Linked DNA regions of Notamacropus eugenii. The protein of the gene in region 2 binds, or shares a complex with, the protein of the main gene of each other region. Links are inferred from orthologs where the notes say so. Each region holds a gene or a part of one and is shown on either strand. Other genes may lie near its edges.

The links.
Region 1: FBXL13 (region 2) and IQCD share a complex: the UniProt entries of both Homo sapiens proteins name them as parts of the nexin-dynein regulatory complex. The link is inferred for Notamacropus eugenii from reciprocal best matches to the Homo sapiens genes FBXL13 and DRC10.
Region 3: FBXL13 (region 2) and DRC3 share a complex: the UniProt entries of both Homo sapiens proteins name them as parts of the nexin-dynein regulatory complex. The link is inferred for Notamacropus eugenii from reciprocal best matches to the Homo sapiens genes FBXL13 and DRC3.

What each region holds. Positions count from the first base shown.
Region 1 is NC_092875.1:32,967,742-32,971,489, reverse strand, and holds the start of IQCD (dynein regulatory complex protein 10), read right to left. Parts: upstream 2,767-3,748; 5' UTR 2,104-2,766; exon of another isoform or gene 777-2,103; intron 1-776. UniProt on the Homo sapiens protein: Component of the nexin-dynein regulatory complex (N-DRC), a key regulator of ciliary/flagellar motility which maintains the alignment and integrity of the distal axoneme and regulates microtubule sliding in motile axonemes.
Region 2 is NC_092874.1:152,914,379-152,918,126, reverse strand, and holds the start of FBXL13 (F-box and leucine-rich repeat protein 13), read right to left. Parts: upstream 2,702-3,748; 5' UTR 2,517-2,701; coding exon 2,250-2,516; intron 1-2,249. UniProt on the Homo sapiens protein: Substrate-recognition component of the SCF (SKP1-CUL1-F-box protein)-type E3 ubiquitin ligase complex.
Region 3 is NC_092874.1:335,190,492-335,194,239, reverse strand, and holds the start of DRC3 (dynein regulatory complex subunit 3), read right to left. Parts: upstream 2,556-3,748; 5' UTR 2,356-2,555; intron 1-2,355. Other genes in the region: TOM1L2 (TOM1-like protein 2), read left to right, coding at 3,008-3,059. UniProt on the Homo sapiens protein: Component of the nexin-dynein regulatory complex (N-DRC) a key regulator of ciliary/flagellar motility which maintains the alignment and integrity of the distal axoneme and regulates microtubule sliding in motile axonemes.

The DNA.
Region 1 (3,748 bases), on a different chromosome or scaffold from region 2:
CCCTCTAATTTCTGAGCTGTAAATGCTCATAATTGAAATTTTAGCTAGTTAGAGTTGGTTCCAGCACACTTCTGGACACAGCAGGCAGAAAAGCTGATTTGATTTCAGGTTGTATCAAGAGAAGTTTGACTTCAAGGAATAAGGAGGGGATAATCTCTTTTTCATTTGCTCCAGTCAGATCAGATGTATTGAGTTCTTAGCACCAAATTTTAAGATAGACATTCATAAGTTGTAAAGTGTTCAGGGGCAGCTAGGTGATACAGCAGATAGAATGCTGGGTCTACAGTCAGGAAGATTCATCTTCCTGAGTTCAAACCTAGGACACTTACTAGCTGTGTGAGCTTGGGCAAGTCACTTAAGCATGCTTGCCTCAGTTTCCTCATCTGTAAAACGAGCTGGAGAAGGAAATGGCAAACCACCCTGGTATTCCTGCTAAGAAAACCCCAAATGTGGTCATAGAGAGTAGGGCATGACTGAATATGAACACATGTGAACGAGAGTGTTCAGAGAACGACAACCTGGATGGTAAAAGGCTCAGAGGTTGTTCTATATAGAGACTGGGAGTATTTAGCCTAAATAAGACATTACTGGGGCAGGGGGTGGAGGTGGAATGTAATGACATGATAGCAGTTTTCAGTTATCTGAAGAGTTACTAAATTTGTTTTTGTTCATCCCTAGAGGACAGAACTAGAAGAAATGGATGCAAGCTGAAAAGAGATTTTGGTTCAAGATCAGGAAAAACTTTTCTAAAGGTCTCCTAAAATGTAATGGGCTACCTCAGGAGATCGTGGGCATCCCTTCATTAGAGGTCTTGAAGCAAAGGCTGGATGACCCCTTGTTAGGTCTGGGTAGAGAGGATTTTTGTTCAATGATGGACCCTCTGGTTTCATGACTCTGCAATTCTGACCTCAGAGCTTGTTCCAAGTTCACAGCTCAAAGGATCTTTGAGATCATCTAGTCTAATACCATTATTGTAGAGAGGATGAAATTGGAGGCCTACCAAAACTCAAATGCCTTGCCCAGGATCATATTTCATTAGTGTCCGGCCAGGGTTTGCTGACATTCAAATCAAGGCTCTTTCCATTCCAACCTCATTTGTCTCTTGTTTCCTCTCATCAAGCTCCTCATTCTTCCTCAGACATACTTCTTGATACCCCTTAATTCTAGAACCTTGCATTGGTTAATGATTTCTAATTTATCCTGTATACATATGATCTGGACATGGTTGTTTGCGTCCTGTCTCCCCTATTAAACCACAAGCTCCTTGAGAACAGGGACTCTGTTTCTAGGGATTTCATAATCCCTAGCTTGGCACATTGTTCTTGTTCAGTCATTCAGTTGTGTCAACTCTTCACGACCTCATGGATTGTACTGTTGATGAGATTTTCTTGGCAAAGATACTGGAGAAGTGTCACCGTATCCTTCTCCAGTGGATTAAAGGAAACAGAGGTGAAGTGACTTGTCCAGGGTCACATAGTTAGTAAGTATCTGAGGCCAGATTTGAACTCAAGTCTTCCTGACTCCAGGTCCAGTGATCTATACACTGAACCATCTAGCTTGGCACATAGTAAGTACTTAAAAAATATTTACTTATGGACAGACTGGGAGCAAGATCCAGTAGGTGGAGTTGGAGTTGGCATACTTGCAAAGCTCTCAAATCAAAATCAAATTCAATGGATGGTCAGAGCATATTCGTGGGGCTGGGATCCAGGAGATTCCGAGATCAGTCCCTGTTTTGCCCTTTAACTGGCCCTGTGAGCCTGGACCTCTTTGTGCCTCAGTTTCCCCATCTGTATAATGGAATTGGGCTAGATGGCCTCTGAGATCCCTTATAGCTCATACATTCCTATATGATCCTGGATTCACATCCTGGCTCTGTCTGCTTCGGTCTCAGTTTCGTCCTCAGTAATATTGGGCAGTTGGATTAGATGGCCTCGGGGGATCCTTGCCATAAGAAAGGCACCCGGTGGGGGAGGGGCTGGGCAAATGTTCCTGCCCGGAGGCAGGGGCATGGACTACGTGACCTTTAGTCGCACGAAAGTTCCACCCCTGTCCACTTCATCTTCTCCGTTACCTCGTCCTCTCCGCCACGACCCCACTTACCCGCCCGCGCAGCCGCGGGGCTTCCCTTCCCTTCAATTACTCCTTCCTCAGTTTCCAGAGTGGCCACGTTGCTAGGCTACGGGTAAACAACTCAACCAGACCAACCACATCCGGGGCGGGAATTAGCAGTCGCCACTCAACGTCCGGCATTTTCCATTTGGCCACGACCCTTTACCCCACAGGCTCCAGCCAATCGGAAGCACCGTGAGTTCGATGACTCCGAGACCCCGACTCCCGACAACCAATAGAAAGAGCCGAGACGGATGCACCTTAGGCTGCGAAGAGAGGGAGAGGAGGAGAAGGGGAGGAGACTTGCATGCTGGAGGCGGGGAAAAGAGCAAGGAACTTCCAATAAGAACCCCCACAAGGCCTCCGGAAGAACTAATGAAAAAACGAGGGGAAGCCACCCCTTGAGGCTGCAAGGGGCGGGGAAAGTAGAAGGACGTTTCTCAGAGCCAATCAAAGGATAGGCTACCCCACAAAGGGGAGCCGAACGAAACTGTAATTTTTTTAGCTTTAGGCATCCTTTCCTCCTCCAAGATGCAGAGGGCGGGAAAAAGAGAAAAGCCCAATCAGAGCACCGCAGACTGGGAAGGGGGCGGAGGCTCATTTCGTGCCCCGGAGAACGGAAGGAAAGGGAAGAGGAGGAGAGTCAAGTGGGCGGAGAAAAGGGAAGGGCGTCCCATCCGACCAATCGGAGAGCTGCGGTGTCCGCTCGTGCAGGCGATAGGCCTCCGGGAAAGGGGGCGGGGCTACGACGGGGTCGGGACCGGGCTGGGTGGGGGGAGGTGGAATAGCGGGCGGATGGAAACGGGCTCGCCGGCGGCTGCGGCGTTCCCCTTCTCCGGGGCGGCGAGTTCGGGTCGTGCCACCGGCCCGCGACTCTCGGAGCGGCGTCTCGCAGAAGGTTTGGCTCGGAACCCGATTCGCGATCGCTGCTCGCGGGGGTGTCTCCTGTAAGGACCCAGGGAGAGGTCGGGGGTCGGAGGTCGAAGGGCACAGGGAGGGGGGGCGATGCACCCGTGTAAAGGGGAGGCCAAACGGGCTGAGTCCCTTCCTCCGTCCCTTCTTCTCTTCTCGGGATCCTGGAGCTGGAGATGGAAGGGACCGTAGAGATCTAGTCCATTTTACATTTGGGGAAACTGAGGCACGGGGAGGGAGAAGTAATCTAGAGCAGGAAGGGTCCTCAGTCCATTGACCCCCATCCATCATCCAGATGGGGAAACTGAGGCCGAAGGGAAGGAAATGAAGTGGTTTCTCTAGGGTCACCCAGCTTCTAAGCAGAACGGGAAGAATTCGAACCCAGGACCTTTGGTTCCAAGCACAGCTCTCTTTCTCCTGTTGTTGCTTCCTTTCTCTTTGCTTCTCCCTTCATCCCACCCCACTTCTCCTTTTCTTTCCGGTGTTCTCTCTCTCCTCCACTTATCCAGGACACAAACACAACGCCCTTAGCATTTTTGGGGGGAGGTGGCTCCCAAATCTACCCCTTGCTCTGGAGAGAAGTCACACCCTCTCCTTGTGTCCACTTGGGAGCCTTTGGGAGGTTTAAAGTAGCCGTGATGTTTGGAATTAACTTCGAAGCTGAGTTTCCTCTCCCTGTATCTGTTCAGGGGCTCACCTGGTCTAACACACCAGTGTATCTCCA
Region 2 (3,748 bases):
CACTGATACTAGTCCTATGGTATCAAAGAGGTCAAAGAAAGAAGAAAATTAAAGTTATTATGTTTGATATTTATATATTTAATATATATTATATATAAAGATATTTACAGCAGCACTTTCCATAAAGAAAAAGAACTGGAAACTCAGAGTGTACCCATAAAGTAGGTAATGGTTGAACAAATGATGGTATATGAAAGTAATGAAATTCTCTTGTGTTCGTCCTTTGTTGCCAAAGAAGACCATGCCATCAGAGAAATGATGACATGACTTGCACTTGACTTTGCTTTGAGTGCGGGAGGGCTGTGCAGGTCACCGGCCTCGCTTCTCCAGAGCCATCTGAATCCAGTGACCTGACATTATTTCTCAGGATGACAGGAGATGGGCCAGGATGCAATGGAAATTCTCTTGTACTATAAGAACAGATGAAGGGGATGAATTTAGAAAAACCTAAGAAGACTTGTATGAACTAATGCAGAATGAAGTGAGGAGAACCAAAGCAATTTATATAATAACAATACTGTAAAGACAAACAACTCTGAAAGACTTAATAACTAATCAATGCAATATTCAAGAGGGCTGATAATGAGGCATGCTACTCATCTTTTGACAGAGATAGACTCAAGACGCAGAATGAGACATACATTTTTGGACATGGCCAATGTAGGAATTAGTTTTGCTTGACTATCCATATAATAAGAGCTAACATGTATATAGTATCTACTACATGCCAGGCACTGTGCTAAGCACTTGACAATTATTAATTCATTCGATCCTCATAATCACCGTGGGAGTTAGATGATCTTTTTATTATTCCCATTTTACAGATGAGGAAACCGAGGCAAACTCAGTGACTTAAGTGACTCACCCAGGGTCACACAGCTGGTGTCTACGACTGGCTTTCAGTGTGCCTTACTGCAGGTCCTGTGTTTTATCCACTGTACCACTTAGCTGCCCCCTTGTGCTGCATTCGTCAGAGGATTTGAGAATCCAAACAGATAATGGGTGTAAAGTGCCAAGTCAAAATATAACGTTATCATCATCACCATCATCCCCTCTAGATGAGATCCAGCTAAGCCAAATTACATTTGAAGATAAAACTGGACAAAAGATGATAAACAGAGAAGATAAAATGGATCTACAGGCATTTTCACAGTGATCTCTCTGCATTAAAAACATTTAGATTACAGCATCCCAATGTTGAAAATACCAAGTAATGGTATTTAAGAGGGGGAAGTCAAAACTGGTGGCTGAACCTAACTAAGCACAGAGAGAAGTCTGAATGGCGGACAACACAATTGTTAAAGCACTATGAAGTAGAATTTTAAGCTGAGACAGGGAAAGATTTCAAAAGAATGGAAAAGATCATTAATGGTGCCTTTATAAGGGGAAAAAAGATAAACGAAAAGACGTTCCCAGTTGCTATGTCTTCCTTCTTGTCTGTATAGGGTGCTATGAACACACTGAAGAGATCCAAAATGAAAACATAAGAAGTCAATAGCTACGCTTTCACAAACATTTTTTTTTAATACTAGGCCACATTTTTATGGGAAGACTGCTGACTGAAACAATTAAAATCCACATTGTCAAAATCCTTTGAAAATGTGTTCCAATATGAAACATAACTTTAATTTTATACCAAACCTGATGAGCTTTCAACTGTAAACATTTGTTCCTGTTTAACAAATGAGGAAAGGAACCCAGAGAAGTGATACCACTTAACCACGGCCCTAACAGATGTACAAAGGTAGACCAGAAATCCAGGACTCTCTCTGACTTTTTCCCCACCGTACCACGCTGCCTAAGTCTCCTTCCACTACATTAGGCCCCCTGATGTCACAGGCTAAGTGGGTGGTTCAGAGCAGGGGCTGAGATCAGATCAATAACAGGCTGATCCGCAAAAGGAGAGAGCTCCGTCTTAGGGTTGAAAAGGAATTTTAGTTGTCCTTTTACAAAGGTGGAACTCAGGGGCAAAAAGGTTGTGATTTGCCCAGGCGCAGACGGATGGCACAGCGCGCGAGAGCCGGAGAGGCCGGGGTTCAAGAAAAACTAGGTGGTGGTGGCGACAGAACTGTGGGCTTACGGGGCAGAACGGGGTCAGGGCGCAGAGGGCATTGACTGGGAGGAGGAAAGAGCACGTGGTGGGTCGGCGCCAGACAGGCGTGCGAGGCCCCGGGCAGGGGAGCCCGGCCCCGCCCCCCAGCCCGGCCCGGGTGGGCCGGCTCACGGCGCTCCCGACACCGCCCTGATACCTGGGACCCCTGGGAGAAGTGGTTCCTCTTGTCGAGGGTGGCATCGTTCTGGGCAGGCCATTTTGGGGCCTGCTGGGCGGGCTGGGGCCTGCCCAAGGCGGGTGGGACTAGCCGAGACAGGAGGACAAGTAGGCGAAGGTTCCCGCCCTTCGCACCCAGCACCACCCTCTGCGCTGGAGCAGCTGCCTCGGGGTTCTCTTTCTCCGCGCGTTGCTCCAGGCAACTGGGAGCTGGGACTCCCCCGCCCCCGCGCGGCGATTGGCGCATGCGCGTGTGGCTGGATGGAAGGGACCCCCGCCCAAGCCGGCCTGGCCCGGCCCACCGCGCAGCCAAGCTGAGCTTTGTAGGACAGTTCAGGGCATCACAGGCATGGATGAGGGTGGGCAGTGAGACTGGTCTGGGCCACTCATTCAAGCAACAAGCATTTACAGAAGCGCCTCCGGGGTGCCGGGCACTGCATTAAGCCCCCAGGTCAGGTGCTAGCGTCGGCGTCAGGACTCGAGTTCAAAACCTCCCCCAGTCGGGCCAACTGCCTTCTCTCAGCCTCTGTTTCCTTTTGTGTTAAATGAGAATGGTAATATCGCTCACCTCCCTAGGGTTGTTATGAGGTTCAAATGAGTTAATACATGAAAAGCAACAAAGCTAGTTACTATGTATCTTTTTAAAAATGTATTTGACTCAGCAGTGTGCGGCCCTGAAGAGCATTCTTAGGGAGCTTCCATCCAGTATGCACACATTTAAGGTGTCACACAAAAATACAGAATAATGAGTGGAGGCAGGAGCAACTGGATTTATCAGGAAAGACCTCAAGTAGGAGGCGTGCTTTAAAGGCTGCCAGGGACTCAGGAGGTTAGTGCATCCTAGGTCTGGGGAGTCCTGTGCATAAGTACAAGTAGGCCATCTTGGTTGGACCTTACAGTGAGTGGCTAAAGGGGAGCAATGGCTAATAACCCTGGAAAGTAAGGCTCTGGTCAGGCTGTGAAAAGAGCTTTAAATAAAAAGAGGGTTAAACAGAAGTCCTGAAAAATTCAATTTAATTCCATTCAATGAACTTTAAGCCCCTTCAGTTGCTTAGCCCTGCTTATCAAAGAGTGTTGGGGGAAGCCGTAGTGGGGAGGGAGACACCAAGTTTGCAGTTTTTCTATCCCTAGTCATTCATTTACCCTTATCTGCAAACTAACCCGTTCTTGCTATTCTGGGGAGAAAGGCGATTCAAAGCCGCACTTCTTGTGCTGGGGTGGACCTATCTGGATTACTTTAAAGCTGCCTATAAAAGTTGTCCCCACCTTGAAGCCATGTCTGATCTTCAGTCATCAGCCCTGCTACCTTGACATACTTAAAGTAAATCTTTTCAGTTCTCTTTGCCCTGAGTTTTGCCTCCTTAATCAGGATGAAAACCCAGATGAAGAATTTTCCTTTCAACACTACTACATGTGCAATGCAATGCTAAGACATGGAGGTTAAGGCCTTAAGGAAGGTCAGGCGGGTGGCATGTACTA
Region 3 (3,748 bases), about 180 Mb from region 2:
GACATATATGTTAATTATCATATGTTTACATATGTTTATGCTTTATCATTTTTGTTATGCTTCCTTGCTGTGTATTGGTACTAGGACTGTATTGTAGCAACATTTCTGTTAATTTTGCTCAGTTTTGTTAGTTCTGTTTGTAGTTTTGCTAATTTTGTTGTTTCATAGGCCTACTGTAGTTATTTTTGCTATTAATGCTTGGCTTGTAATACATATCTCACATATAATTTAGATCTGTAGTCACAAAACACCTGTCAAGTGAAGCTTTGCATTGTGTTCTATCTGTTGCGTATATTGTAGTGATAATGCCTTGGTACTCTGAGACCATTACATGGGACATTAGATTAATTATCATTGTTCTATTATGTACTGATGAGCATTTGATGCTGTGCCTTATATTTCCAGGTGCCAGCTACCTGCCACTCCCCCATCCCAAATCCTAGCAGTGCTTGGGTCTTTGGGGCAGGGGCAGCTAAGCAGGGGAGAATGAGCCAAGAAAGGACTGCAAGAGAGGGACAGCACTATGGTATCCACCCAGAACTGGCAGAATTTTCATCCACTGGAGGGAGGTGATTAGCAGTGATCAGAGCAGGAGATGAGCCCAAACTGAGTGATTGCTTCGTACTTGAGAAATCCAAGCTAAGGTAGAATTAACATTCTTAACACCTTAACCCTAACGGGTTCTCTCTTCCCCAAACTTCCTACTCCCCTTTCCCTCTTCCATCTTTTTAGACAGAATGAGACAAAAAATATCTCCATATTTTCATAATTCCCATTTCTTCTCCATTCTGTCACCAACTCCCCCACCCCACCATGGTAGTTTGTAAGCCTTGTTATCCTTTCATGAAAGAGTTTGTTCCCACTGCCTGTGGCCCGCATGGTGGGGGTGGCCCTGAAGAGTTTTCTAAATTTTTCATAACACAGTAAGTATTCTTCAGAACTGAAGAACTGAAGAAATTCTTGAGTTCTGACTTGGTGGTCAAGGGACCACCATCCTTGTAGAGGGGAGCAAATTTTATTACAATTATTAAAACCCTTAAATCTCCCCCAGAATAGTGGGAAGGTTTAATGGAGATCTGGAGCAAATTATTTCCCTTATGATTAAAGAGCCTAAATATTCATTTATCTTCAAAACTACCAGTGGAACCCATTATGAACAGCTGCCCCTAAAGCTAAACCTTCCTTGAATCTGAAGAAAAGGAGGGAGAATGAAAGGAGGATAAAGGACTAAACCAGGGGTGGGGAACATGTGGCCCTCTAGGTCTTCAGATGTAGCCTCGTTGACTGACTCCAAATTTCACAGAACAGGTCCTTTTATTAAGAGGATCTGTCCTGTGAAGTTTGGATTCAGTCGAAGGGCTGCACCTGAGAGGCCACAGGCTCCCCTGGACTAGAAAGCCCCCTCTAAGGCATGGAGCATTTCAATTTTCCTCTCCCATCCTGATTATCTTTCAGCAGGCCTATCTTATGCTCTACACTGACAGCTGATGTTACATCTGGAACGAACTGGACTGGCCATTGGTAGGACCACAGGAATGAGAGAGAAGGAAGTAAAAGTGGGGTTTTGAAAAAAGCATTAGATTTACAGTAGGTTGAGTTTCGGGTCTGAGTCACAGCTCTGACTCTAGATGTGTGACTGCGGGAAAGGTATTTCATCTCCTTAAAGTTTTCCTAACTGTAAAATGAGGATAATACTTGCACTACCCGCTTCACAGGTTTGTTGCAGGGAAAGGATAGCTGGAAACCCATGGCTAGGTTCGGATTGGTGTAAGTAACGAATCCCCTGACGGGGTTTGTTGAAAAAGAATTCGTCCATTAATAAAGACCTTTCGTAGAAAGTTGGCAGAGAAAGAAAAAGGAAGGACAGACAGATGGAGAGAGACAGAGAGAGAGAGAGACAGACAGACAGACAGAGAGAGGGGGGGAAGGGGAGGGAAGGAGACACTGTTCAGATTAGCATTGCACATTTCCATCAGGCTAGAACTAACGTCACACAATCACAGCCCCGAATGGCGCTAACTCCAAGACGTGAGACCACTCGCTCCGGGGCGTTCCCTGTTCGCACCGAAGCCCCTTCCTGCCCCAGGAACCAAGGGTGCAGGGTGCAGCGGGGGGGGGCCTGCGTCCCCGTCGGACGGACCCAGAGACCGAGACTTGTGGGCACTGCGTCCTAGGAAGCCCAGAACCCGACACAGAGCTCAGCAGTGGGGTGGGGGAGGGGAGCGGGTTAGAACTCGGGGTCCCGACACCAGGCCTGACTACGCTGCCCTCCGCCCCGGTCCCGGAGGGGTCCTGGGGGATCAGGCCAGGCCGCGTCCTTAGGCCCGTCCCCGAAGGCCGCTCTGGGTGTCTCACCTGCCGGGGCTCTGGCCTCCGTCTTGTTCCTGCCTCGAAGAAGTGTGCCCGGTTGCTAGGGGAGGACAACGCGACTGTCTGGTTGCTAAGGGGAAATCCGATGACGGCCTCTCCGAGGTGAAAGTTGACTGGTCACGTGCCCAAACTTTTGGGCGGGGGAAAATGCTTTTCTCACCAACCAGTCATAGAGAAAACAAATCTCCCTCCAATCGCTGCCTTCTGGGGGCGGGGCCCTCAGTGGCCCGCCTCTGCGGGAGGCGGTGGTGACGTCCTCGATTTTAATCCAATTATTAGGAGAAGCCTTTAGATAGATCACTATTTTGGCGAATCAAATTGCGGGTCCCCGACTCGGGGCCGAGACCAGAAAGAGAGCTGAAATGACCTACCTGTCCCGTGGACCAATCAGAGCCCGCGGAATAAATGAGGGCTTCTCGGAGGACGATCGACGGCCAATGGGTGGAAGGCTTCGGAGGCACGGTCCAATGAGGACTTAGATCAGCAGGAGGGGCAGGGAGACCGCAGCTCTCCGTTCGGGAAAGGGGGCAAGTGTCACTCAGGCCGGGAGAGCCGGAGGGGGTGGTTGCGACGCGGCAGTGGCGGCGGCGGGCAGCTTGGTCGGAGCCTCCGCCGCCTGCGCTGCTGTCCTCACAAGATGGAGTTTCTCCTGGGGAACCCCTTCAGTACCCCGGTGGGACAGTGCCTCGGTAAGGCCCTCCGGGCGGCTTCGGGGTGGGGGCGGAGGGCCCGGCATCTCCGGGCGGCTCGGTCCCGTCCCAGCCTTCCTTCTCCGGGCGCTCGGCGGGCCGCGGTGGCGTGGGCCTGGGGCGGACGAGGGAGTCGTGCCAGGCCCCGGCCGCGTCTTCTCGAGTGGGTGCCTGAGAAGGCCAGCTGACCGGATGCTTCCCCGGGGGGTGCCCCGTGGGAGGACCCTGCCCAGGCCGGTCCGCGCAGGACAGCGGGGGGTGCCCTGGGCACGGTCCTCCGAGCGCTGCCAACCTGAGCCATCCTTGTGGTGCCCGCTCCTCCTCACTTTCCCCCTTCCCTCTCTTCTCTCTCTCATCATAGTCCAGCGGCTCTGGGGTCAGAAGACCTGAGTTCAAGTGTTAACCCTGACCCTTAGCTGCCTGGGTGGCATTGGGCGGATCACTTGACCCACCTGGGGGTCAGTGTTCTCATCTCTAAAACGAGGGGATTCAGCCAGATTGTGCCCTGAGCCTCCTCTGCCTCCAGATCTGTGGTCCGTTCTGTCGGATCTGCTTGTCTGGCTGGGAAGGGCAGAGGCTTGAATTGCAGCCCCGATAGTTTCCATGTTAATGCCTCTGGGGACCTCAGACACTCTTGAAAGGGATACTAGAGTGATGACAGGCAAGTGTTTGCGAAGGCTGCACAGATC